Oryza sativa Japonica Group: one gene and its partners. The main gene of each other region encodes a partner of the protein of the gene in region 7 in a complex. Links are inferred from orthologs where the notes say so. Each region holds a gene or a part of one and is shown on either strand. Other genes may lie near its edges.

The links.
Region 1: large ribosomal subunit protein uL3c (region 7) and large ribosomal subunit protein uL1c share a complex: the UniProt entries of both Arabidopsis thaliana proteins name them as parts of the 50S ribosomal subunit. The link is inferred for Oryza sativa Japonica Group from reciprocal best matches to the Arabidopsis thaliana genes AT2G43030 and EMB3126.
Region 2: large ribosomal subunit protein uL3c (region 7) and large ribosomal subunit protein uL10c share a complex: the UniProt entries of both Arabidopsis thaliana proteins name them as parts of the 50S ribosomal subunit. The link is inferred for Oryza sativa Japonica Group from reciprocal best matches to the Arabidopsis thaliana genes AT2G43030 and EMB3136.
Region 3: large ribosomal subunit protein uL3c (region 7) and large ribosomal subunit protein uL15c share a complex: the UniProt entries of both Arabidopsis thaliana proteins name them as parts of the 50S ribosomal subunit. The link is inferred for Oryza sativa Japonica Group from reciprocal best matches to the Arabidopsis thaliana genes AT2G43030 and RPL15.
Region 4: large ribosomal subunit protein uL3c (region 7) and large ribosomal subunit protein uL4c share a complex: the UniProt entries of both Arabidopsis thaliana proteins name them as parts of the 50S ribosomal subunit. The link is inferred for Oryza sativa Japonica Group from reciprocal best matches to the Arabidopsis thaliana genes AT2G43030 and RPL4.
Region 5: large ribosomal subunit protein uL3c (region 7) and large ribosomal subunit protein uL13c share a complex: the UniProt entries of both Arabidopsis thaliana proteins name them as parts of the 50S ribosomal subunit. The link is inferred for Oryza sativa Japonica Group from reciprocal best matches to the Arabidopsis thaliana genes AT2G43030 and emb1473.
Region 6: large ribosomal subunit protein uL3c (region 7) and large ribosomal subunit protein uL5c share a complex: the UniProt entries of both Arabidopsis thaliana proteins name them as parts of the 50S ribosomal subunit. The link is inferred for Oryza sativa Japonica Group from reciprocal best matches to the Arabidopsis thaliana genes AT2G43030 and AT4G01310.

What each region holds. Positions count from the first base shown.
Region 1 is NC_089039.1:18,889,730-18,893,777, reverse strand, and holds the start of large ribosomal subunit protein uL1c, read right to left. Parts: upstream 2,801-4,048; 5' UTR 2,622-2,800; coding exon 2,253-2,621; intron 2,147-2,252; coding exon 1,967-2,146; intron 1,857-1,966; coding exon 1,802-1,856; intron 1,536-1,801; coding exon 1,408-1,535; intron 947-1,407; coding exon 863-946; intron 1-862. UniProt on the Arabidopsis thaliana protein: This protein binds directly to 23S ribosomal RNA.
Region 2 is NC_089037.1:9,831,879-9,834,578, forward strand, and holds large ribosomal subunit protein uL10c, read right to left. Parts: upstream 1,348-2,700; 5' UTR 1,287-1,347; coding exon 624-1,286; 3' UTR 501-623; downstream 1-500. UniProt on the Arabidopsis thaliana protein: This protein binds directly to 23S ribosomal RNA.
Region 3 is NC_089037.1:6,341,527-6,345,765, reverse strand, and holds the start of large ribosomal subunit protein uL15c, read right to left. Parts: upstream 2,801-4,239; 5' UTR 2,742-2,800; coding exon 2,324-2,741; intron 2,158-2,323; coding exon 2,006-2,157; intron 1,020-2,005; coding exon 798-1,019; 3' UTR 784-797; exon of another isoform or gene 682-783; intron 42-681; exon of another isoform or gene 1-41. Other genes in the region: uncharacterized protein, read right to left, coding at 3,333-4,066, 4,236-4,239.
Region 4 is NC_089037.1:8,802,385-8,806,596, reverse strand, and holds large ribosomal subunit protein uL4c, read right to left. Parts: upstream 2,801-4,212; 5' UTR 2,733-2,800; coding exon 1,799-2,732; intron 639-1,798; coding exon 601-638; 3' UTR 384-600; downstream 1-383. Other genes in the region: peroxisomal nicotinamide adenine dinucleotide carrier, read right to left, coding at 3,803-4,005, 4,184-4,212. UniProt on the Arabidopsis thaliana protein: This protein binds directly and specifically to 23S rRNA. May play a role in plastid transcriptional regulation.
Region 5 is NC_089035.1:31,965,951-31,969,944, reverse strand, and holds large ribosomal subunit protein uL13c, read right to left. Parts: upstream 2,801-3,994; 5' UTR 2,706-2,800; coding exon 2,481-2,705; intron 1,920-2,480; coding exon 1,734-1,919; intron 1,453-1,733; coding exon 1,282-1,452; intron 809-1,281; coding exon 689-808; 3' UTR 456-688; downstream 1-455.
Region 6 is NC_089037.1:1,440,999-1,444,361, forward strand, and holds large ribosomal subunit protein uL5c, read right to left. Parts: upstream 2,186-3,363; 5' UTR 2,118-2,185; coding exon 1,815-2,117; intron 1,682-1,814; coding exon 1,481-1,681; intron 1,090-1,480; coding exon 754-1,089; 3' UTR 501-753; downstream 1-500. Other genes in the region: probable polygalacturonase, read left to right, coding at 1-423. UniProt on the Arabidopsis thaliana protein: Binds 5S rRNA, forms part of the central protuberance of the 50S subunit.
Region 7 is NC_089036.1:1,980,082-1,983,741, reverse strand, and holds large ribosomal subunit protein uL3c, read left to right. Parts: upstream 1-1,360; 5' UTR 1,361-1,454; coding exon 1,455-1,986; intron 1,987-2,719; coding exon 2,720-3,009; 3' UTR 3,010-3,160; downstream 3,161-3,660. UniProt on the Arabidopsis thaliana protein: One of the primary rRNA binding proteins, it binds directly near the 3'-end of the 23S rRNA, where it nucleates assembly of the 50S subunit.

The DNA of each region.
Region 1 (4,048 bases), on a different chromosome or scaffold from region 7:
GCACAATATAGCCCAGTTCATTACCTAAAGGGCTAGATTTTTCACAAATGCTCCCACTCCTGTCCTTCAGTTAACCGTTATAAATGATGGTTGTTCCTAACAGTCAAGTAGCCTACTTTACCTGTTTTCTCTATTTTGCAGATTTGTTGTGATGCTTTACATAACTGTTACGGAGGCACTATGCAGGCTAAGTAGCAGATTACCATCATCATCAGTCATTACACGATCATTTGCTCTATGGCTGATAAGCCGTGGAAAAATGACGAAGCAACCAAAAATAACTTTTGAGTAAAACGTCTATATCTATGTTCTTAGCGATTCAAAAGCCAGCACTGGAGAATAAAGCACAATAAAAAAAACCCCTCAAAATCAATTCTAAATTAAGTTTCAAAATCCAGATTTTGGCTGCCGTTGATAAGCCAACAAACGAACGATGGAGCTATGCATCCATGCATATCCTCAAATTCAGTTGGCACAAACAAAATTTCAAACCTTCTATCTACGAATAACAAGGTTAAAAAAATGTCTATCAACATGTCTGAAAATCGAACCACTGAAATATATTGCACACACAATGAAGACTACTAAACAAGGTAGCAATATATCAGTAGGTTTTCTCCCAGAAGTGCATCTATGAGGTAAGTACTGAGATGACGTAAATGGACAACTTCTTTGAACAAAAGGGCAGGAGTTCTGCCTATTGCATTGAACGAGGATAAAACAGAAGTTCACCAAGGATCAAAGAAGGTAAATGGACAGTTACCCACCTTTCACTCAGGGTCACAATAACCAAGCAAATGGGAGAGAAAACCACAAGCAACAGTGTCAATACATATAGTAATCTGTAGAATTTCCATTGTACCTGAGTTATGTTTGGAGAAACAGTCCCAGCTTTGGGGTTAGGCATAAGTCCTCTCGGTCCTAGAATCTTTCCCAATCCGGCGACCTGTGAAGCAAAAGACCAAAATCAACAACATAATATGCCGAGCTAGTAGCACACCTTTAAAACTTCCATGCAGGTCTTGCATGGAGCTCAACACTTATTGCAGAACTGCATCCAAACTTCCGAAGAATGTACCAATTCAAAACAGTAGAACCTTATTTGCTTATCGAATCTATTTTCTCTGAGTGAACCAAATTTGCATATCTCCATTATGGCTCAAATCATAATCGTAAATGCTAGACACTTGTAATATGAAGGGATGGATCAGATATGGCAGGTAATGATAAGAAAACAATATCTGATCAATACAACTAAATGTTGCCTGGTTTTGTGGTTCCTAATAACACTGAAACATAACGTGTTCATTTGGATGTGGGATAAACTATGTCGGAGACATGCAAAAAGACAAGTCTTCATAATGCTTGGAATTGTTTTAGACATGAGTTATGCAGCTAATGCCATACCTTAGGCATCATATCAGGTGATGCAATCAGCTTGTCAAATTCCATAAATCCTCCTTTTATTTGGTCAATCAGGTCATCTCCACCGACAATATCAGCTCCTGCAGCTCTTGCTTGATCTATCTTCTCACCTGCAAGGATATTTGACAATAGCCATTACATAGTGCTAGTGATTAGTGCACCACTTTAGTGACTAGCGCGCATTCACATACTTCCATTTCAATTCACTATATAACAGCGTGCTTCCAATTTAATGAACCGTAAATAACCACATGATCAAGCAGGCAAACCACACCTAAAAGACACAACTAGCAGTGACCTAATCAATCCATGCACCAAAGATTGCAATTGGAATTGGTGCTGCGATAACAATCTCCAAAATGTAATTGCAACCCACCTTGTGTGAGGACCGCAATCTTCACCGACTGGCCCGTCCCCTTGGGCAAATTAACCTGCACATCATCACCAAAACCGATCCAATATCATCAAAAACGATTGATAAAACACAAGCCAGAACAGAACGTACGTAACAATGGCAACAGCAGAGAGAAAGAGCAATAACCGTGGCGCGGAGCTGCTGGTCGTTGTACTTGGGGTCGAGGTTCATGCGGAAGTGCGCCTCAGCGGACTCGACGAATCGGGCGCTGGCCATCTGCTTCACCAGCGAGATGGCCGTGGGCACGTCGTGCTCCTTCTTGCTCTCCCTCAGCTTCTGTATCTCCAGGAATCGCTTCGACCTCGTCTGCAAACCCATCAAAAAAAAGGCGAACGCGGCGTCAGCGTCAATCCAAAAATCAACACGAATGGATGAACACGCGGGGGGGAGGCTGGATTCGGGGGGGGCATACGCGGTCGCGCTTGAGCGGAAGGGCGGCCTTGCCGGTGCGCGGGCGGGTGGGGGGCGTGAACGCGGGGCCGCGTCCGCCCTCGTACCCGTCGTCGTAGTCGTCGTCGTCGTACTGCTCCTGCCCCTCGTCCTGCTGCTCCCCCTGCTCCTCCTCGAGCACGGCGCCCTGCGGGTCTGCGACGGCGGCGACGGCGGGGCGGCGGAACGCGAGGAGCAGGCGCGGGTAGTAGGCGCGCAGCGACGGGACGGGGGTGGGGAACAGCGCGGTGGACGAGGAGGAGCAGCACTGCGCCGCCGCGGCGCCGGTGGTGGCGGGGGCGGGGGCGAGGAGGGAGGAGGCGGTGGCGGAGAGGGAAGCGGCTGTGGCCATGGTGGTGGTGGTGGTGGTGGGGAGGGGGGAGGAGATAAGCCGAGGTGGAGGATAGAAAGGGGAGGAAAAGGCGAAGTGGCAGCGCGAGAGTGTTATAATAGCCGGTGAGGCGAGGGCGAGGCGAGCGGGCGAAGCGCGCAGCGGATAGGGCTCTCTCTCGCTCGCGCGTCGCGGGGGACGGGGGAGGACTCGTGCGATTTGGGCTATTTTGGATTAGCCGAGCCGTGTGTGCCCGCGCGCGCGGGGGAGACGGTTGGGGGAGGGTGGTGCGCTGCGGCGCCGCGGGCGTCGGATTGGGCCCAAAAGCTCACGATTTCGCCGTTACTGGGTACGGTCCAAAAGAACCACCGATAATGTAGTGCTATTTACTTTTTAAAAATACTACGAACCATTACCCATAATCTGTTAGTTGCGAGAGTATCAGAAATGTCTGGCCGTACCATCAGAGTACCTACACTCTCTATCCCAAAAGATACAACTTCTAAGAGTGTTCACAGTAGAAGGATGTGACGTTCAGCCCCATAGCCAAGAACTGAATATTCGGCGCCGCATTGACAGTACGCGGAGCCAAATAAGGTTCTCGTACCCAAACATGGATACTCGTTCTTCAAACGAAGAAAGCAGGGAGAAAGGTGAGTTGTCGTGTTGTGGAGGGCGGAGCCTCACACGAGTGGCTTCGCGCAGCGTCGACAGCGAGCGCATTGTCGCCACAGCCACGGGGAGAGAGAGAGAGGAAGGCGCCATCGACGAAGAGGCTGCGACCGCCACCGTATCCAATGATGAGGATGGGAGCTCGCCGTCCGGCACCGTCGCAGCTCGGGCTGCCCTGACAGCCGCCGCCGCTCAGCCCCAGCGCCTCGGATGCCCTGGTGAGAAAAGAAATAGAGTGAGAGATTGGGGGATGAAAGATTTCGGATGAGAAAAGAAACAGAGGAGAGAGAGAGATTGAGAGATGAAAATTGAAAAAACTGTACCGGTGGGACCCACTACTAGTACTTGCATTGTAGAGGATGAAGCTTAACAGGTTCTTCGTCTACGTGGCATATGAGGAACGGCAAAAATATGTAGCGCACTGTGAATGTCCTAAGAATGTTGTCCGGATTCATTCCTAGAAATTGATTTTTTATGGGACGAAGGAAATAGGAACCAATACGAGAGTCTGATAATGTGGTATTAATGGATATCGTGTCTGGTAGTACCAGATCCAGTGCACATACAAATATGATACCTACGATCCTGTGCTGATGTTAGCACCATAAGGTATTCTGTTGTAACAGTATAGTGTTATGTAGTAGTTCTTTTTTTTTTGTCACATGCAAACTTTACAAGATCTCTTTTAGAAAGAATATTGGAAGAAATTGGACTGAATGTCTTAATCTTATGCAATTCATGGGTTCTGAGAGCATCAACAATGCGTGTCTCCAGGG
Region 2 (2,700 bases), on a different chromosome or scaffold from region 7:
TCAATTTTGCCAATTCTATTCTTGATCCACTGCGCGTTCAGACAGAAATGATACAAATTAGGTATGTGGTGAGCTGGTGACCAACAGTAAGTTTCAGAAGCTAATTCAGAAGAATTTCCAACTCTAATTAGTGTTATTCTGTTACTAAAAGATGAATTAATCATTTAATTTTGTTCACTTCAAGGAGGTTTGCTCTTAACAAAAAGAGCACAGTTAAGTTCATGATTTTAAAACATCTCATCATACTGCTTTGAACAACTTTGTTGTAAACCTGGATACACTGATTGATGGTACAACTACACAAGCACTAGTAGTTATTGACCATTCTAATTGTGCATTGCCATTGCCCCTCAACCTACTAAACTTTGATCTCTGTAGTCTCTACAGGTAAAATTAAATTATCAAAACACTAGTTGTGGAACAAGCATTCCCTCTAAGTACGCAACGTAATCCTAATAACATCAGAACTCGGTAATCTTATGAAATCAGACCAGTAGGCATGCGTTGTAAGAGGTAAAACTTTTGTGATTCAATTCAAACGTGAGGCAGTAAAAGTACAGGAATTCTACAAGAAATGAGTGAGATGAGAGAAACGAAGCCACAAAACCATCTCTCAACAGCCATCAGGCGGCGCCGACCTCCTGCTCGAGCTTGCGCACGTACGCCGAGAGCACGGAGACGACGTCCCTGGCCGGCGCCTGCAGCGTGGTGACGACGGAGGTCGCGGGCCCCTGCAGCGAGCCGAGCAGCTTGGCGTACACCTCGGCGCGGCTGGGCATTGTCTCGAGCGCCTTGAAGTCCCCGGGGGCGTAGAACTTGCCCTCGAACACCGCGCCGACGAAGTCGTTGGTCTCCTCGAGGCGCTCCTCCTTCTGGAAGGCGCGGTAGGGCTTGAGCGCGGCGGGGACCTCCTCGGTGTGGACGAACAGCCACGCGTTCATCCCCTTCATGCACGGCTTGAGCGCCTCCCACGGCGTGCCCTCGATGGCCTTCCCCACCAGCGTGTTCTTCGCCACCAGCAGCCGGCAGGTCTCCGGGAGGGTGTCGCGGATGCCCTGCAGCTGCTTCACCGTGAGGCCCTCGTAGCGGATCCCGGCGAGGAGGTAGCAGCCCTCCAGCTGCTCGCGGACGGCGGCCACCGTGTCCTCCTTGCGGCCTCGGGTGATGGCCGCGCTGATGGTGGAGCGGCGGAGCGGGCGGGGGCGGGGGCGGGGTGCGAGGGTCTGGAACGCCGGGAGGGGCTTCGCGGTGGGGAGGGTGGTGCGGAGGAAGGAGGAGGTCTCCATCTTCGGAGGCCGGGAGCTATGGCGGGTTGGGAGAAAGAGTGGAGTGGGAGAGCTTATCTGTGGGGAAGATGAGGCGGGGGGCTCACTGGATTATGTGGGACCGTATCGTCAGTGCCTGAGAAGATGGTGAACTCAGCTCGGTCAGCTGCACAGAAAGAAGCTTCCGTGGAGATTGACCTTTGCTTGAGGATTTATAGCCGTTCGATCTTGATCCATGAGCGGTTGAAAATAAGATTAAGAGTTCCAAATAAAAAAAAATAGAGGCATAGAGCAAACGCGTATGTGTGGTATTCATAGACGTCAATTTAAACCATAGTGAGTGAAGTCGTGTACCAACAACTCCAATCTTCACTGCCTTGTTCAACACAGCATACATCACTATTGTTTTCTTGAGTTCAAAAACTCTTGATATGTACAATAAAACATAACATACATCAGTGTACTGAATTATTCAACACAATAGATATCACTATATAAGAAAATGACAGCGATTAGGCGCCCGATCAGCGGTAGAAAAATCGGGCGCTCGCCGCCTCCCGCACGCTCCCACCCCTTATGCGTTGTCCCCCCCCCCACGTGCCCCACCACACGCGTCGTTATAACAAATCACCCGCACATTAAGGAAATACTTTATTAAAGGAATCCGTTTCATTTTTTTTTCCACCAACAATGTTTTAGCAAGTGTACTCGTGATGTTTCACTATGTATGATCAAATGTTGCAATGATTTGAAACATCCTTTGCTATTTGCTGAAATATTGTTTTTATATAGGATGAAACAATGCCTGATTTTTTTTTGGAAACTGTTGTTTCATATGTTGTAACAAAATATTTCACGATGTGATTTGGTTGTGTTTCAGCTTTTTTAAAAATATTGAAACATTTTCGATCTATTTAGTGAAACAATGCCTGATTTTTGTAAAAAATCGAGCGCCCGATTTGTAGATGCATCACTATATATATATATATATATATATATATATATATATATATATATATATATATATATATATATATATATATATATATATATATATATATATATATAATTCAAACTTTTTTTTACAGGTAAGAAAACCATGCGAATCTCTTGTACGACGATCAAAATGGATATAAACATTGCAAGGATGTCAGGTGGAAAGGATATAAACTGCGACGATCAAGCAACAGCAGCTGCTCTGATGCTGTAAACACGGAGTTGTTCCGGACTCAGCATGCTCAACGCAATTTCACAGAAAACCAAACATCCGATGCTTACCATTCTCTCCATAACTCGTGTGCACTTCAAGCCATCCCTAACATGAAATGATGGTTTTGATAATGGAAGTGTATAGTTCATATAATAATGTCATTGGTAGTACTGAAATCCAAGAAATAAGATGCAGGGAAACAAGAACGTCTGGTACAGGGTGAAA
Region 3 (4,239 bases), on a different chromosome or scaffold from region 7:
CTTGTATACCTCTGAATTTTGATTTGGATCTCTTCCATACCCTTGCCGTTAATTGACCGTTTAATAGGTATATAAAAGTCAGTTTTACCCTTCAATATGTGAGGAATATGTAGAAATTTGTAAACTATATTGTTGGAAGTATAAAATTTGTTGTGTGATTATCATATTCATAAGTTTTATGTACATAAAAAATTTAATATATATTTAAAAAGTACATGTAGCATTTTTTTAAATGATAAACATAGTTTTGGAAAGCATTCCTATATAATATATACAACAGGAGAAAATATGTTGAACTACCATAAACAAATGCTACATATACTCTTTTAGTAGGTAAATAAATATTAGTTTTTATGTCATTAGGTAAAAATAAACTTTGCCATGAATAATACCTTGTACAATAAAGTCATGAATATGATAGTCTTATATAACAAAATTATACACTTCCAACAATATAGCTAGTCTACAATTTTTAGATTTCCTTCATGTCTAAGGGCAAAAAGGTCCTTTTCATTAGAATTAAACATTCAACTAACGGTATGGGTATGAAAGGGATCAAAACCAAAATTCAGGGGCATACAAAGGAGTGGACAAAACTCGGAGGCGTAGAAGGGATTGGCTAAACTTTCAGGGGTATAGAAGGAATTTTCTCCATTTAAACAGGAAACACACAAAAAAAAATGCTTGCATATCGCACGGATTCAAAATTCGTTGAACGTGGAACTTTTGGAACAAGGTAAGAGAAATAAGTATATGTTAAAGAAAAGGGTAAAGGAGAAGTACAGTGTATATGAATTCTATGCAGATGCTTCATCAGATTCACCAGCACCACCATTTTTCTTGCTAAAGTATTCTTCTGCACGAGCTTGGTTCTTCAGATAAGATTGTGGTAGCCATTTCTTCCGCTTTGGTACCAGACTTAAAGTACAACCAGCTGCCTCGAGCTTCTCCTTGGCTGAAGCAGAGAATGCCCCAGCCTTGATATTCAACTTGACTGATACATCACCATCTCCTAAAATCTACAGATAGGTTTTCAAAAGTTAGCATACTAATACTACCCGCATGATAAAAGATACAATAACAACAGCAACATTGCAGTATCATTGTACTCAAACAAAGATGAAAGGAACGCCATCTGCTGAACATCAGAATCAGATGTCAAGAAGGAAAAAGCCTATCATAAGGATAAAGTTGATAGCTCCCCACATTATGACTTAGGTCTTGATACCTGTTTTAGCCCTGTGGGTTTTACCTTATATGTACCACATAGCTAGGAGCCTAGAGTATAGAAAAAATCAATCAAATGAAATAGGACCAGAAAGAACAATAAAAGTTGAACAATTATGCTATTCAAGGTGCATTAAGTTCCACCCTTGGAGAAGTCTTTGTCACATCAGTGATCAAGCGCCACACCACTACCCACTATAAGGGGCAACCCAGTAGCACACTAATGCATCTACTCCAGCAATCCGCCAACTAAGAGTGGAGACAAACAGTAAATATTTTGGGTATGTTGGGAGTGATGCAGACATGCAGTGGTACATGTAAGAGCACATGGTTTTGTTGGGATCTTGATACCACTTCATGTTTATGCCTGACAGATATGCTCATATGCAGGCCTACACCATGTGTGGGTTCATCATAACTCATACGTTCTAGATCCTTGAGTAGCCAATAGAAACACTCGTCAAATCATACCGTGTTTGTCCAACACGAGCTAAGAAAATTGATCCCGACACACAACTTTGAGACTTCGAATACTCAACTTGGTAATTGCTGCTAAGGACAGACCAACACAGCAACATTTGAGAACTACAAGAAAAAAAAAGGCCAGCCATTCAATCCACAACATCAACAACTAAAGGATTACCCAAGACTGCTGGTGAACTTGATGAATTCACTGGCAAAGATCAAATGCAAGGCATTCATATTTCAGTTTTCAGTAAAACATGGTCATCTACAGAACCGACTTAAAAAAAAGAAGGATAATCGTCGTATAGTGTACCTTCAGAGGAAGCTTTCTCTCCCTGCCAGACGGATTAATCAAACCCCTCGATTTCAAGGATTCCAATGATATCTCGTCACCATCCTTGAACCCGCCACGCGCCAAGTCTCTCAAATTGAACGGCACATACTTCGGCAAGCCAATATGCATTCCTGCAATCGCAAGGTAGAACTTGCAACGGGTCACTTCTCAATCCCAGCATTTCTGCATTCCAAATGGAAGGTGCTAGCGTGTTCCCACTCAATTTCCAGTGCATTTGAATGTGTGAGGCTTCGATTGAGGGCGAGGAGGGGAAGCGGGAAGCTCGAAGAGACTCACCTCCAGCAATGCCGCGCAGCTTGGGGATGCGGCGGTAGAGCGGCATCTGCCCTCCCTCGAACCCGCGCCGGACGCCTGGCCCCGAGCGCGACTTCTGTCCACGCATGCCGAACCCGCAGCTCGCGCCCTGCCCCGCCGCGATACCGCGCCCCTTCCGCTTCGGCCGCCGCCGCGACCCCTTCTGCGGGCCCAGGTTGTCGAGCCGGAACTTCTCCGCGGGCTCCGCCTCCGCGGCCTCGGCCGCCGCGGCGCTGCACACGACCGTGACGCAGCGGCGCGGGCGGGCGCGGAGGACGACGGACCGGCGGCCGGAGATGGGGCCTGGAGCGGCGACGAAGGAGGTGGAGAGCGAAGTGGAGGCCGGGAGGTGGAGCAATGTGGCCGCGGGAGCGAGGGAGAGGAGGGTGATGGACGCCATGGCGGTGGAGCGGAGAGCGCGCCTGAGCGGCTTGCTGGTGTGGGTGGATAGAAGGGGATAATTGGGGAAGGACACGAGGGAGATAAGACGGTTGGATAAATGGGCCATGAATCCAATTAACCCTTGGGAATTTGGGCCTCTTTTCCCTCTATTTTGTGAATGGTTTCGTATTACTCACTTTGCTTCTTGTTTATTAAAGGATTTTAGAAGGTTTACAAAAGTTTATGAATAGAATAGAACTGAATTTATCTTCTTAAGAAATGAACATATTTGGATTGATCTTCCACACACAATCAACCAAAGAGAAAACCTGATCTTTGCTGTTCTTCAAGAGACTAGTACGGAGAGAAACTGATGGGTCACACAACCTGACAGAGTTAAGTATACTGAACTGATCTATGCTAAGAAAAGAAAAGGTGAAATGAGAAAGGAAGAAACGAAGACATGTACAAGACACATGCTTCACAGGATCGTCCCGTTGCATGTCTAGCAGTAGACAGGTGCAAGGAATTAAAAGTAAGTGTTACAACTGTAGTCTGGATAATTGTACGTCCAGGCCTCAGCTGAAAGAAACTAATGGAACTCTGGCCATCAACCATCTGAAATGTCAACAACGATACCTCTAGTTGGTGAGTTCAATGGTGACGATGCAGCTTGGCCAGCTTGATCCTCTGCTGCTACATGACTACTTACAGGATGATCTGGCAATGAACTTACATCAACTCGATTAGCTTGCACATTTTCAGATTTGTCATTGTCCCCCTGGCTTAGGGGGTAAGAGCCAGCACTGCTAGAATTTCTGCCATTTTCTACAAAAGATGTAGAACTAGCACCTTCACTGCCACTATTGGATTCCCTAGCAAGAACAAGTTTCAGTAACTTCTGCCGCTTTCTTCTTTCGGTTCTTTTATTTATCAAAGGCACCTCATCTTCATCTGACTCATCCACAGAATAGTAATTCAACCATTCAATGATTACAGAGTAGGAACCATCCCACTTGCTTATTTTTCTTTTCTTCTGTCTGCTGCACTCTTGATTCTTCTTTAGTGAGGTTGTTCTTGGACGCTTCGGTGCTTCCTGAACAGTTGTGGCGGTTAGACGGTCCAAACCAATATCCTTTGACAATTTGATTTTCTTATTAGCTGTGTCTCTTGAAGAGGACTCCATTCCAGAAATACCAATAGAGTCATCAGGAGGAAACCCAGCAGAGGTTTCTTCCAGTTCATGCTTATTGCCTTTTCCACCCTTAATTGATGCATGCGCATTGTGCCAACTTCCAGGGGCTGATTCTTCAACTTTGCAATCAGGTGCTTCTACAGATAAAGCTACCAACAAAAATTAGCAGTATCATCAATTTGTATGAGTAGGCATACTAAGAGTTTAAAATGTATATCTGCAGTAAAGAGTCATCTCAAGGCATTTCAACAAAATAGACTGTTTTATGGTCTTAAAATGTTATCATAACTGGAACCTCCTTTTTAAGCCAAATGTTACCTTT
Region 4 (4,212 bases), on a different chromosome or scaffold from region 7:
TAGTCATAACAAGGAACAATTCAACAATTTAAGGAGACAAGATTTTGTAATCATACCCCTACTCAAGATGTTACTCTCTCCATTTTATATTATAAGTCGTTTTGACTTTTTTCGGAGTCAAACTTCTGTACGTTTGACTAAGTATATAGAAAAAAAATGGTAACATTTATAATACCAAACTAGTTTTATTAAATGTAACTTTGAATATATTTTTGATAACATGTTTGTTTTGTGTTAAAAATGTTATTATTTTTTCTATCATTTTGGTCAAAATTAAATAAGTTTGACTAGGAAAAAAAAGTCAAAATGATTTATAATATGAAACGGAGGGAGTAGAAAATTAGTGGTAACCAGCAGGTCAACACTGGTTTTTTGAAGCAAGATTGGGAAGCACTTTCTGTATAAAATTGGAAGAAAAATATGCAGTGGTTGACACGACATTGTATTTGAAAATATATGTGCAGTTTGAAGATCTAATATACTGCATCAGTGAAAAAAAAACATTATAAACTTACAACAAAAGTAAGCCAAAAAGCTTCTGCATCAGGGAAGCAATTACCAGACCAACAAACGAAAAACACGCGATCTACACCTCCTTCCCTAGGAATTGCTATCAGCCTCAGTCTCTGCAGCCTCATCTGAAAGTCATACAAAAAGAAGTTCCTGAGAAATGCTCAAAATAAGAGAAAGTTATAATATGCAGCACCAAAATGTAACAGAGAACTGAATGTCAATTAATAATAACTTAGTCCTGTAGCTATGCATAGTATTTACGAAAAGGAAGTGCTTGAGTGATGGAGAAAACATGTGTTTAACTAGGTTTTACCTCTAAAGCAACTTAAACCAGCATATTCACAGCTAACTACTTTATTAAGATGGTTCTAAGGTCTAACAGAACATCTTTGAAGTGAATGATGACAGTGCCAATGGCTGACAATGTTTCAAGTGATAGGTGATAGGGGTAGCTGTGTGGCACAGCAGATTGTGACACTATTATAAGGAGTGTACCAGTATCCCCAGAGTTCTGGTTCAGTGGTGTTCATGGATTCCATGCAGTCTCATTTCTTCTTATTTTTTAGTTTAGTGCTTAGGACTTAATCCACCTTCAGCCGAAAATTTAACCACCATTAGGTGAAGTCATTTTCTATTCGCAAATTGTTGAGTTGCTCATGAGCTCTGAATAAAAACCCTAAGGAGGTGCAAAATAACGAGTAAAATACAGACTCAGTGGGTCTACTGAGAGCTAGCATAGGGGTAGGTGGATCTCTAAGCATGCTTCTAAAATAGACCATTGAATTATGTCATGGACTTATTGGATCTTTCAGGAGGAAAAAAAACCATACGATGTACATTAGCATGGTAAGCATTTTTCCTTTTGCATGCTGGTAAGGATAAGAGAACTATTTCGAAAAAAAAATTAGCTCCATAAGTCTACAAGGCCACAAAGAATTTCTCCATAATAATTAAGATGGTATTCATAAGACAAAACTGGCTACATTTTCTGTTTCTTTGCCACGTTATCTTGTTTTTACCCTTAAAACGCATGTCAGGATCTTTATCAGCATACGTATAGCATCGATCATGATATTTACAACAGAGCATAGCTAAGAGTTAAAAGATAAAAAAAAAAACTACTGTACATGCCATTAAAGCAGAGCATTTTCTCTCCTAACTATCAACTAAAACATGTAAAATAAAGGATCACTGGATAGCATTAGTTACTCAAAGTCATTTCGCACATGCCCACCATAGAAACAATAAAAAGACACCTGGAAATTGTTCATGCATAGCTATGTACCTTGAGCAGCCTCCTCTGCGCTCCCTTCTCCTTCTTGCAACTCCTCTGCTTCCTCCTCACCATCATCCTCGCCATTGGTATCATCCTCATATTCATCAAAAACGGTGGCACCATACCTGGAGTTGAGATAGTTAATGGCGGCCGGGGTGAAGAAGAGCTTGCGGGCATCGAGGATGTCGTATAGGTTGAGAGTCCTGGGGGTTAGCATCTTGAGGGAGCCAATGTTCCTTCCGCTGAGCCGCACATTGTCTGCAAAATCCGTGGCGAAGAACATGGCCTTCTCCTTGGGGTCGAGCCCCCACCGCTGAAGCGCGGCCACGAAGTCCCTGGTCTTGGGACCCGCGGCGAACTCCTCGTCGAACTCCTCCACGACGAATGCATCGTCGGCCACGGCGGCACTGGCGAGCGCGGTGGAGATGGCGAGGCGCTTCTCCTTGCGGTTGATCTTGATGGACCAGTCGCGGGGCTTGGGCCCGAATATGACGCCGCCGCCGGGGCGGAGCGGCGTGCGCATCGACCCGCGCCGCGCCTTCCCCGTCTTCTTCTGCTGGTAGGGCTTCCTGCCGCCTCCCCTGACCTCGCCGCGGGTGAGCGTGGAGGCCGTGCCGCGGCGCTTGTTCTGGCGGTCGGTGATGATGGCGCGGTGCACGACGGCGCGCGCGGTGGAGGGCGGCGCCGACTTGAGGTCGAGGGCGACCTCCCCGACCTTCTCCCCGGTGAAGGAGAGAACCGGGAGGGTGGCCGCCTCGGCGCGAAGGGCGCGGAGGACGGAGATAGCCGCCTTCTGCTTGCCGGCGGCGACGGCGACGCGCGGGGAGGAGGAGGCGGCGGCGGCGGCGGATGGGAGGAAGGAGACCGAGGTGGGGGAGAGGAAGGGCGAGGAGGAAGAGGAGAGCGAGAGGAGGAGAGTCGAGGCCACGGAGGAGGCGGCCATTGCGGCGGCTTCGCTCGCTGCGGTGCGCTGCGTGGGCTGGACGACGGGGAGGCTTTGCCGCTGCAGCTGCGGAGCGGCCGCTTCTCTATCTCCTTATCCACCCCCACCCGACCGGACCGGCCACACTCTCGCGAGTGTCAGCTTAGTCGGTCGCGCCAGACCAGTAAGATACACACACTACTATGTGTTTGGATTTTAGAAGAAGCATCTCTTCATTAAAAAAACTTAGATATTGTTAAAGAAAAACCCTCGAGGCAGTATTAGTCTATTAGATGGTGTTTTTTTTCTAATAAAGATGAAATAAAATAGGAAAGCAAAATGAAAACGGCCCATTAGCTTATGTTTAATTAAGTTTTGATTATTTTAAACTTGAAATTGATTTATTTGATATTTTAAAATATTTTTATGTAAAAAATTCATATGAAACATACCATTTAGCAGTTTAAAAAATGTGTTAGGAAGAATTTGCATCTTAGTAAAGAAGGAGGCTTAGTTTCACCAAAATGAGTTTGAAATAATCAAATTAAATTTCATTTCCTTTTTGTCGGGTCAGATTGCTCATTAGCACTTGTGTATCAGAACAGTTGCCTGAGAACCACATTGACAGATGGGGCGCACCATAGACACAGTTATGCTAAAAATGGACAGGAACTCCAAATTTTCTACTTCTACTTTTGTTCTGAACACTTGCGAAGTTTTCACGATTGCGATCCTCTTCTCGGTTAGCTCTAACAAACAAGCTAAAGAAACTCAAGTAATCTGAACAGATGACTAGCGCTTGCGATTCTCATTGCCAACTTATTTTCTAGTGTTTCAATCTTCCATAACAGTATACTTTACACGAGCAACAGAGATAGCCTACCCAATATATACCATCATTATTGGTTCCTACAAGAATCACAGTGGTAATTGTACTACATCTTTAATCTCCTTTTTTTGGAGAGCCTACAGTCGATCAGAGTCTCACAGATAACTTGATATCTCCTAACAGGGGCGCTTGGCAACTCTGTCCATCGCTTTATGGAAACAATTGTGGTATAAGTAGGGAACTAACTCTTGTACAACCTAGATCATCTTAATGGCTTCGATGGTAACTTCTTAACAAGGCTGGTGTTGCCGGTTACCAATAATCGAGCGCCCTTCACCAGTTCCTCCTTAATCATAAAAAGGAGAGCAGAAGCAAAAACACTTTGTACGATTTTTGTGCTCATTCCTTTATAAAGCCCTGACAAACCTTCATAACGTATCATCTTTGTGATCGCATCAAATGTGCCTGCAAGCAATAAAATTTGCATAGCGTATTTGGTAACAAAGTCAGAGAACAGCAAATATTATTACCAGAAGAGAAGTAAAGACTATCAGAAACAGGATATGGAGCAACATCACTCATTAAATAATAATTCACTCTAAATAATAAAATGAAGTTTAAAGAATAAAGGCCAGCGATGTACCTTTGTAGCGGTGCCTCTTGTCATCATCA
Region 5 (3,994 bases), on a different chromosome or scaffold from region 7:
ATTTATCTCACGATTTACTGACGGATTCTGTAATTAGTTTTTTTTATTAGTAACCGAACACCCTATGCGACACTCTATATAATATCCGATGTGATACGTCGAAACTTTACACCTCTGGATCTAAACAACCCCGTAGATGAAAATTTGATACCACCTAATATAAATCTGGATAACCTCCTAATCATTATTTTTAGGTGGTATCAGATCTTCATCTAAATTGGCTTTTTTTTTACAGAATGAGTACATGGTACAATAGGTGTTACTTGAGCACACGATTGGTACTGTCAACTTTTTCGTTATATGGAAGATAAACACGGACGTGCAATTAATTAACAGATCTACATCAACTATTAAGAGAATTTAGAAACACCTGATGCCCATTGAAAAAAGAGAACACTTTTGCCCCCAAACAATGACACATCAAGCTCATCTCAGGTCAAAATTGCACTACTCAATTGGATATGGAAATATCGGATTGCTTAAAATCGTACGGTATTAGGTACATGATATGTAATCAACAAGAACTATGACTTAGAAACACAAACTTTTGGAGGAAGTAAATTACAAAAAATTTTACACTCCATTCCCCAAACAGACAGATGCATCACATTCCAAAGATTGGACAAAATCTCGAGGGGAGGAATTTACGTGAGATTGTTGTGTCTTTCTTAGTCTCCACAGGAATTATCTACTTCTCAGACTTCTGTATTCTTTTATCCTTGATAGGCAGTGGAACAGGTTTTTGAGCCTCATGGGGATGTTCTGCTCCCTTGTACACCTTGAGGTGGGTAAACAGTCTTCTTCCCAGCTGCAAAATGTTCAAAATGTTGAGAAGGCTACATAGAGCACGTACAACCGCTGTAGTTGGTCGGATTACATGTGTCAGTGTCACTAACATATGAGAACTTGAGAGGTTGACATAGTAAACGTTTTTTTTTTTTATAAATGAACTTAGGCATAAGTAAAAGGCTTTAGGCAATCATAAGATGTCTTACAGGCAACATAGGAGTTTTGGGAGAATACATCTAGTACTTCGTTAGCCCACGCCGTTTCGGCATTCAATTAGAGCGAATATTTCCATGAACAGGGTATATAAAGTTGGGGAATTATACACAATAATGAAGTATAATGGAACAGAACGAGGATACCCATTTTCAGATATGTATTAGAAATTGACCAAAAATAAGGATAAGAGCATATGTATACCCAGGTAGGCTGACTTAAGGTCAAAAAGACTTGATGAAACTGACTAGATAAGAGCTCTAAGAGATGATGTCTTACTCTGCCCTTAGGAAGCATGCCACGCACTGCATGTTCAATAATTCTCTCCGGAATCCTTTTCTGAAGCTGATCAAAAGTTTCTTCTTTCATTCCACCAGGCCGTCCAGAGTGCCTCCTGTAGAGCTTCTGTGACCGCTTTTTGCCAGAAACAGCAACCTTCTCTGCATTAACCTATGTGAACATAGAGTTCAGCATGGTAGTTCAGGAACTTACAATAGTATATGCGTAGCAATTACTCTTCAGAGATGCATTAGTATTAAAAGCACACAGTAACATAAATATATATACATGAAATCAGCTTCAAAATGCCTTCAGGTGGACCTCAGCTTCCAGATACCTTTTGGTGCTTATTTGTATGTGCTGCTAAACCTCTTTTCCTTTTGTGGGACTACAGAGGATCTTATTGTGTGCACTATTTAACTTTATAAATTAATTTCAAGAAACATACATACCACAACAACAAAAGCCCCCATGTCCACACTTGGAGTGTATGTGGCCTCATTCTTTCCTCTGATGTGTACTGCAATGGTGGATGCAAGCCTACCTAGAATCTTGTCTGTTGCATCAACAACATACCATGTCTTCTCAGTAGTTACATGATCTGCAGCCTTAGGGTACCATGTTGTGTTCCATATGTCCTGCAAATTAAATTCCTTGGTCCGATCACTACACAGAACAGGTTGCACAGAAAAGAGAGAAAGAACACAAGAATGGTATCCGTACTGAATTCTAACTTCACAAACCTAAACATCCACAGATAAAAAGATATGGTAGTCATGTAGGTGCGAACACTGTTGAGTAATACAACACAATGTTAGCGACCAATTCAGAAAGACCAACGTTCCCTCCATGTTATTTTCAGTTCATTTTATGGAATCCTCTTTCGTAATAAATTACAACTAGATAACTTTAAATAAAATAAGATGGTGGTCTATACGGTATAGTAACATGTAAAAACATTGTGTATTTTCCCTAACATTATTCATGTAAAGAAAGGATTTGACCCAATAGAGCAAGATGAAGTGACTTACGGATTTAGAAATGAATGGGACTAATCTTGAGCTTTCCTAAATAAGCGGCAATCCTAAATCACGGTAAAATTTCCCTTTATCCAAGGAATGTAGCATTACTATTCATTTTCTGAACTGAGAAAGAGAAGAATGTATACGGGAGAGAGAAAGAGAGGTGAGGGTTAGTACGGGGCCGCAGAGCTCGTCGCCTTCGAACATGAATCGCTGCTCGCGGGGGACGAGCGCGGAGAGCGGCTGCCTCTTCTGCTTCTCGCTCTGCTCGCACCGCACCGACAGGCCCCCCGCGGCGGCGCGGCGGGTCGCGGGCCTCGCCGCGCGCCGCTGGCGGGGGAGCGGCCTGTCCCTGGCGAAGGCGGAGGAGAGGAACGCGGAGGCTGCGATGGCCGTAGCCATTGCGACGGCGGCGCGGTGAGGAGGACGCGGCTGCGGCGAAGTCTTGTCCGTCTGGCTTGGCCTGGTTCAGTGGAACGCCACTGCCATTTCGTTTCGGGGAGGCGAGGTGGAGAGAGCAGAGCGGATAAGAAGGGGATAGGGGGGGAGAGGGAGCCAGAAGGGGAAGAGGAAGAGATGGGCCTTTTGCTTAGCTGGGCTTTGCAGCCCACAGATGCATCAAAGCTAGAGAAACGCGTAGAAATTCCGATATGTTAAATGGGATAATTGCTTATTTAACCCTATTTTAAAGGCCAACTACTAAATTGATCTTATTTTTTTAGGTTTGTTTATTTGACCCTGTTATTTGAAATTGAAGTTTCCATTTGACCTGTTTTGCTTTCACCGGTAGAACATCACTTAGAAAAAAGAAAAAAAAAATACTACCCTAAAGTGACCAAAATACCCCCGTGTTACAAATTAACCCTAGGATTCCCATTCCATTCCCCAGCTCTTCGTCCCAATCCCCACCTCGCCGGTGACGGGGAGAGCTGCCGCCGACCGGGCTGGAGGGAGAGGCGGCGGCGGCGTTGGCGGCGCATCGAGGGAGCGGTGGCGGCGGCCGCGCGAGGAGGGAGAGGGAGCGGCGGCGGCGGCGGCGGCGTTGGCCGCGCGTAGAGGGAGCGGTAGCGGCGGCCGCGCGAGGAGGGAGAGGGAGCGGCGGCGGTGGCGGCGTTGGCCGCGCGTAGAGGGAGAGGGAGTGGCGGCCGCGCGAGGAAGGAGAGGGAGCGGCGGCGGCGTTGGCCGCGCGAGGAGGGAGAGGGAGTGGCGGCCGCGCGAGGAAGGAGAGGGAGCGGCGAGCGGCGGCGGCGGCCGCGCGAGGAGGGAAGGAGTAGCGGCGTCGGCGCGCAGGAGGAGGGAGCGGCGGCGGCGGCGGCTGCCGTGCTCGAAGCGGAGAGATTGAGCGGCGGCGGGGCTGCTGCCGCACGGAGGGTGGAGGAGGGGCAGCAGCGCCGGCTGTTGCCGCGCGGAGGGGCGGCGCCGCCGGCTGCCGTCGTGCGTCGTGTGGAACGAGAGACGGAGGATAACTTGTGGTTGGATTTGTTGATGGATTTGGATACGAATTTATTGTTGGATTTGGATCTGATTTGCTGTTGGACAATATGCTTTGCTGTTGGACAATATGCTGTCAAATTTGTGTAAAATTCTGTTAAATTGAAGACAAATCTGTCTCAGATCTGTAAAAGCCATGAAAATCATTGCAAATATTTAAAAAGTCCCGATGAAGAAAAAACTTTGATATAATATGGTAA
Region 6 (3,363 bases), on a different chromosome or scaffold from region 7:
GTGGGGCGCGGCGGCTACGTCAAGGACGTGTTCGTCCGCGGCCTCAGCCTCCACACCATGAAGTGGGTGTTCTGGATGACCGGCAACTACGGCCAGCACCCGGACAACTCCTCCGACCCCAACGCTCTGCCGGAGGTCACCGGCATCAACTACAGCGACGTGTTCGCGGAGAACGTCACCATGGCCGGCAGGATGGAGGGGATTCCCAACGACCCCTACACTGGCATCTGCATGTCCAACGTCACCGCGCAGCTCGCGCCGGACGCCAAGAAGCTGCAATGGAACTGCACCGATGTCAAGGGTGTCGCCTCCGACGTCTCGCCGGTGCCGTGCCCGGAGCTCGGGGCGGCGGGCAAGCCATGCGCCTTCCCTGAAGAAGAGCTCGTCATCGGTCCGCCTGAATTGCCAACGTGTAGCTACTGAAATACTGATATAGGATGATAGTATGGTGTGGGTAATGGCCTGGGCTATGAGATGCTTGGGACCAAAGAGATATATATGATGTGGTTTAGTGAGTAAAGTTAAGCAGTTTGAAAATGCTGCCGGATAATCTCTTTACACCCAATTCATTTATGAGTGCTCATCTGCGAATGACCTGACCAAAGCAAAGCCTTTTCATTTTGTCTTCTGACAGTAAATACAGCACGTGACAAGATAACAAAATCATCAAACTTCTAAACGAAACTTTGCAAAAACAATGACAATTGACAAAGTGAGAAGCAAAGCTCAACGTGCCTAGGCAGCGGTTTGCAATCACCGTCTTCCCCTGCCCTTGCTCATGAAGTGGTGGCGCTTCAACCTCTTCTTCCGGATCACCACGGAGGACTTGATGTGCTCCGCGAACGGCATGCCAAGGAGGGTGAGCAGCCTGAGAGCCTCGTTGTCGGTCTTCGCGGTGGTGACGATGCAGACGTCCATTCCATTCTTCTTCCCACCGACCTCGTACGGGATCTCCGGGAACACGCCCTGATCACGAAGGCCTATGGTGAAGTTGCCATGGCCATCAAAGCTGTTGGGGTTGACACCAAGGAAGTCCATGGTCCTAGGAAGCCCAAGGTTGATGAGCCTATCCAGGAAGTTGAACATTACCTGCAGCAAGCCAAAATAAGCTCATCGATCAAACATATTCCCTAGGTTCCCAAATACTTGTCACTGGATACTATTCATATTTGAACTTTGATCACTTATATTTTTTAGAAAATAAAATGCATATACCTAAAAATATGCCATATTATTAAAGGTTGTTACTCCACATAGATAGGTATTAAACTTTCGTTCGTCCAACCATTTAAAATTTGTGGTCAATGTAAAATACTGACGGCCAACGGTGACAATAATTTGGAACTGGATGGAGTAATTGCAATTCTCACACATACTTTAGGCTATTATACTGTCATGCAAATCCCAAATTGATACAACATTGCAGTCCCCAATTTGTCAATGTCTGCATCGCAAGTAGCCAGAGGTACAGAGGACTCACCCTGCCGCGGAGCGTAACGGCAATACCAATGGTGTTCCCCTCGCGGATCTTGAAACTGGCGACGGACTTCTTGGCCTTCGTCTTGACGGGCCACTGGCCGGTGATCATGGCGAGGTCCTTCATGGCGGATTCGAGCCCCTTGGAGTTACCGGCTTCAGCCCCCAACCCGCAATTCACTACAATCTTCTCAACCTTGGGCACCTGAATAAAATCGAGAATCCAAAACACACTCCTCTAAGCTCAATTATTGAACAACAATCGAATTTCCCGAGTTCCGCAAAGAAATGGCCATGTCTATCCTATAATTGCGAGAAGGGAGACAGAGGTCGAACACCTGGTGGACATTGGTGTAGCCGAACTCCTCGGTGATGAGGGGGACCACCTTCTGGTCGTATACAGCCTTGAGGCGGTGCACCTTCTGTGCCTCGGTGGGGTCGACGAGGACGATGCCCGAAGGCGAGGTCGGCGGCGGCGCCGGCTTGGGTGGCGCGTCGGCCGCGGCGGAGGCGGCGACGCGGAGGGCTCGGCGAGGAGGCGGGGAGCGGAGGAGGAGGCGGACGTTACGGGAGGAGGAGGCGGTGGTGGTGACGGGGAAGGGGGCCGGCGAGGACGGCAGGGTCACAGCCGTGGCCGCCATTGGAGCGTGCGCGGAGACGGAGGTGGGAGCTGAGGAGGGAGCTTTATGCCATGGATGGATTACGGGATAAGGCGAGTTGGCTGTGGCTGGCTGCCGTTGCTGTCCAGTGTCGCAGGTGGGCTTTCTCGTCATGGTTCGGCCCATCGAACTGTTCGACATGGTTTCAGGCCTTAGGCCCATCAAAACCGTTGATTTGGGCCTTAGGCCCATCAAAACCGTTGAGTTGGGGGTGAACTAAACACGGCCTAAGAGAAGGGTAAAGTTACATGAGTCAACAACTGCAAGTCTGCAGTGTGTGAATTTCGATATATGCCTTGTTTTGGTCAACCGGTAACAGTGTTTGAGTATGTGGCCCATTCTGTATTTTCTAATGCACTACAGGACATCACTAGTATAGTAGTAGTATGCCATTAAACGATGACTTCAAACATAAAAAACGCCGATGAAGAGCTTAAACAAGATCAAGCAAACTCTGAACCTAGCAACAGTTGCTGGCAGATCAGCAGGAGATCTGCCACGCTTGATCAACATTGAAAAATGGACGGAATATCACGACGAGGATCCTCGTCACATGCTTATGCCTAACTAATCATGCAGTAACCGTAACATGCAGTTCTTTATAACCAGGGGACAATCACTAGGATCTGATTTGAAAGGTCCCAGATCACAACATTGCGCTTGCCCTACCTTGTTCTACCAAGGACCAGCAATGCCACGACCGTGATCCTGTGAGGATCGACTTGACACCAAGAGTAGAAACACAACGGACAATATCTTCCTTGTCAGTTTGCAACCTAATCCTGATAAACTACATTAACCTCCTTGACCTCAAGAAGTAACTGTCAGTCTGTGACCTTGTCACTTGTCAGGGCCTTAATGAACAGCCATTCAGCAGTATGGAGGAACCGCCTAGTGTGCATAAGCTTCATTAATTCTTCTTCACGGTCAAAAAGTAATCAGCCATGCATCACTTTCATATTTACATCCGGCACATCTCGTGAACAAGAGATACAGAATGTCGGCAAATAAAGAATATAAAAGAAAGTACACATTTTATCAGTGAACACCTCACTGTCAGCAGCACGACTCAACCAGACTAATAAATTCAGAATGGTACTGATTAATATATATCATTACCAGCAGTACTAGCAAAAGCATCAGCCATTCAGCCCCAGCACATCATTTCTAATACCTGTGTGCTCCACCGTCCAAATGAGCTTCCAAATATCTATCTAAATTATTCTTC
Region 7 (3,660 bases):
TCCACAGATCGAGGGTGAAGAACCTCACTTAGCGCCCCCGGCCGAACCGGCAAAGGGGGGCCTGCGCGGTCTCCCGGTGAGGAGCCCCAAGCTCCGACAGTGTTAGTATGTTGCTTCGTTTTGCATGCGAAGGGGGTTTTCAATCCCTCCAGAAGAACATATGCTAAGTAAAGCAATATTTTGTTATATATAAGTGATCAGGTAGAGCGAAGGGCATAGAAAACAATAAAGATATAGCAAAATGTGAATTGTGAAAATACTAGTGATGGAGCGCAAGATTTGTGTTTTTGAATCTCACTCGCGTAGAAGGCAATGGATTTCTCTCGTTGCTTTCAATTCTTGAACAACGTTATTGGTTCGATAGAATTTGAAGTGTTCAATCACTATTTTGTAGTGAGCTATTCTGAACTGTGTTAGTGCAATGAAGGTCATCGAGAGTGCAAGTGGCTAACCTACAAAAACCCACTTATATACTAAAACAAACCATCTGTACCAAACTCAGTTCCCATTGATATCTTCCCACCTGGTGCACAGGGGCACCGTGCTAAGGTACAATTGATCTAGGTAAAAACACTTGACTTTAAGTAAGGACACTGGATAGCACGTTATCTAAAATAAAACTCGGTAAAGTTATATGGTCTCAATGGCAAAGCTAGCAGCATACTTAAACCTGGGAGACAAGGAACGTTTACTAGTGATCCATAAATTTTCGGTATTGCTAAAAATATGTCGCTACAAATTACGATGGATTTCAGTCGGTTGTTTCAACCGTCAGATGCGGATGCAGAAATCATCGCAGTGTACGCATATCCCTCCGATTCTGTTCTCTTCTGATCTCTTCTGTTGTTTTAATGTTATTTGCTAATTAGGATTACTAATTAGTCTTAAAAACTAAATATCCGTGTCATCACAAATTTATAGTTTTGGGAATTACATCAACTTACACATGTAATTTTGAGAATTGCATATGTAATTTTAGTACTTACATATGTAATTTTGGAATTTACATTGTAAATACACTAAAATTATATATGTAATTTAGGGACTTGCAATGTAAATACATGCCGACTATTTTTTTGGTGAAAAATACGGCGCTATAAATATATATATAGTTACTCCCTAAATTTTTACATGTGCTATCAATGGAGAATAGTAGCAACATCAGCGGCGGAGTCTGTACGGTCGCCCGACCTGCCCAGGAGGTAGCTCCGCCTGTCTAGCCTAACCTGTAATTTATTATGCACCCGTGGTATTTTGCAACTGTTACGGAATCCACCTCCCCGGCAAAGAAAGCGTATTCCTAAAAAGCGCCTCTCTGCAGGCGGGAGGATAAGGGGGCATTAGCCGCAAACCCCAATCCAATCGAATTCAACACGAAAAACAACCAAAGCAGCAAGCGAAGCCGGGACACTGCTGGAGTGAGCAAATCCCCGCTCGAATCCGGGGCACCAAGAATGGCCATGGCGGCCGTGGGCATCGGCGGCGGCGGCGGCGGCGCGCTGGGCCTCCTCGCGCCGCGCCGCCGCGCCGCCTCCTGGAGCGGCGCAGGTGGCGCGGCTGCGGCGGCGGCGCGGCGGCGGCCGCTGGTGGCGGTGGTGCGCGCGTCGTACGAGGCCGGGGTCGGGGTGATGGCGACCAAGGTCGGGATGATGACCTACTTCGACCCGGCCACCGGCAAGCCGGTGCCGGTGACCGTCGTGGGGTTCCGGGAGGGCGGCAACGTGGTGACGCAGGTGAAGACGGCGGCCACCGACGGGTACGACGCCGTGCAGGTGGGGTACCACGGCGTCCGCGAGGAGAAGCTCACCCGCCCGGAGCTCGGCCACCTCGGCAAGGCCGGCGCGCCGCCGCTCCGCCACCTGCAGGAGTTCCGCCTCCAGTCCGTCGACGGGTACGACCCCGGCCAGCCGCTCGACTTCGCCGACATGTTCAAGGAGGGCGACCTCGTCGACATCTCCGGCAAGTCCATCGGCAAGGGGTTCCAAGGTCAGTAAACTTGATTATTTTTTTTTACTCCCTTTTCACAATGTGACTACCATTTCGCCCTGTCTGAATTTGAACAATGCTTTACATTGTGAGGAAGACTTGAGAACAAGCTTGAAATTTTGCTGTATCAAATTTACCATATGCTCACCAATGTTAGTGTACAGAATTGTTCTTGGGAAGAATCATTTAGCCTCTTCTCTTGATTAGCGTCCTAGACTTGCACAATGGCATTGCCAATATGGCAATGTCAATGCTGTTCTTGGAGTTGCAGACCTGTACCATGTCAACACATTCGTTATAGTTCACAATTTATTGCAACCATCAGCATCACTTGTATAATTTTCATGAAGTGAATATAACATCGTAAACCCGTTGCAATTGCGCTCTTGATTTGCTGCGACCAACGATTTGCCAATACCGCAAACATTATCCATTTCATGTATATTCTTCCCAAACAACATAATAAAAAAGACACAAATATTAGAGAAGGACCTAATATCAAATAATTAGAATGGGTGAGGCTTCGAACCCAGGTCGTCTAGCCTACCACCTTGTGGAGCTAGTTGGAAGACCCCTGGGTGTTTCTCCCCAAACAACATAATCGTTTATAGCATTCTCATGAAGTCAAGAGCACCAATATCTCTTTTAGTTCCTGATCATCTAATGGCAATATGGCATAATTGTGCAACTATGCTCTCAATTTGCGACTGACGGTTCTTGGACATCGACACAGGTGGCATCAAGAGGCACAACTTCAAGCGAGGGCTGATGACCCACGGCTCCAAGAGCCACAGAGCTCTGGGATCGATCGGTGCCGGGACGACGCCGGGTCGGGTGTACAAGGGGAAGAAGATGCCCGGGAGGATGGGAGGAACCAAGACCAAGATCAGGAAGCTCAAGATCGTCAAGATCGACAACGACCTGAAAGTTGTCATGATCAAGGGCGCCGTTCCAGGGAAGCCCGGGAACCTCCTCCGCATCGCTCCTGCCAAGATCGTCGGCAAGAACATCCCCAAGAACTAGACTATTTTTCTCATGTGTTTCGTCCTGTTCTGTGAGATTTGTGATCTGTTGTTTACTGAATTACTGTAAATTGGAGATGTTCTTTGCCCATGTCCAGGTTTTGTATACGCGTAACTTTGAATTTCGTAAAGCTAATTTTTTTTCTACTCAATCTTATCGATCTCCCGTTCTCAGTTCACACTCTCTTTGGACTAGAAGCTAACAGAATCTTAATCATCTTGTGCTTGGATGTCAAATTTGCAATCACTGTTTATTCTGTGTTCAGGGAATGGAAACATGTAATGGTAGACGGTAGTGTAACAAACACATCTTGAGAATCAAACTTCACCAAGCGTCAACAATCTGACAGTTTTACCAACTTCTCCAATACTGAATTATTGTAAACTCTCATGTCTGAACAACCGAAGAGTGCAGAGCGCGACATGGCCAACCGCAGCAAGTGCAACAGAGGGAAAATGTTAACTAAGCATCATGTACAAACTACACATCAAGTGCAACAGCACGAAATGTCAATGTAAAGCTTCCAGTCACCATTAACGCTAACTTCTACAATATCTTCAGCAATGACACAGGGACAATAGGTTTCTTGCATCAGTCAATGCGACACATTATTAGGCCATGAAATATTCTCACACAAGTCACCGAAGCTGG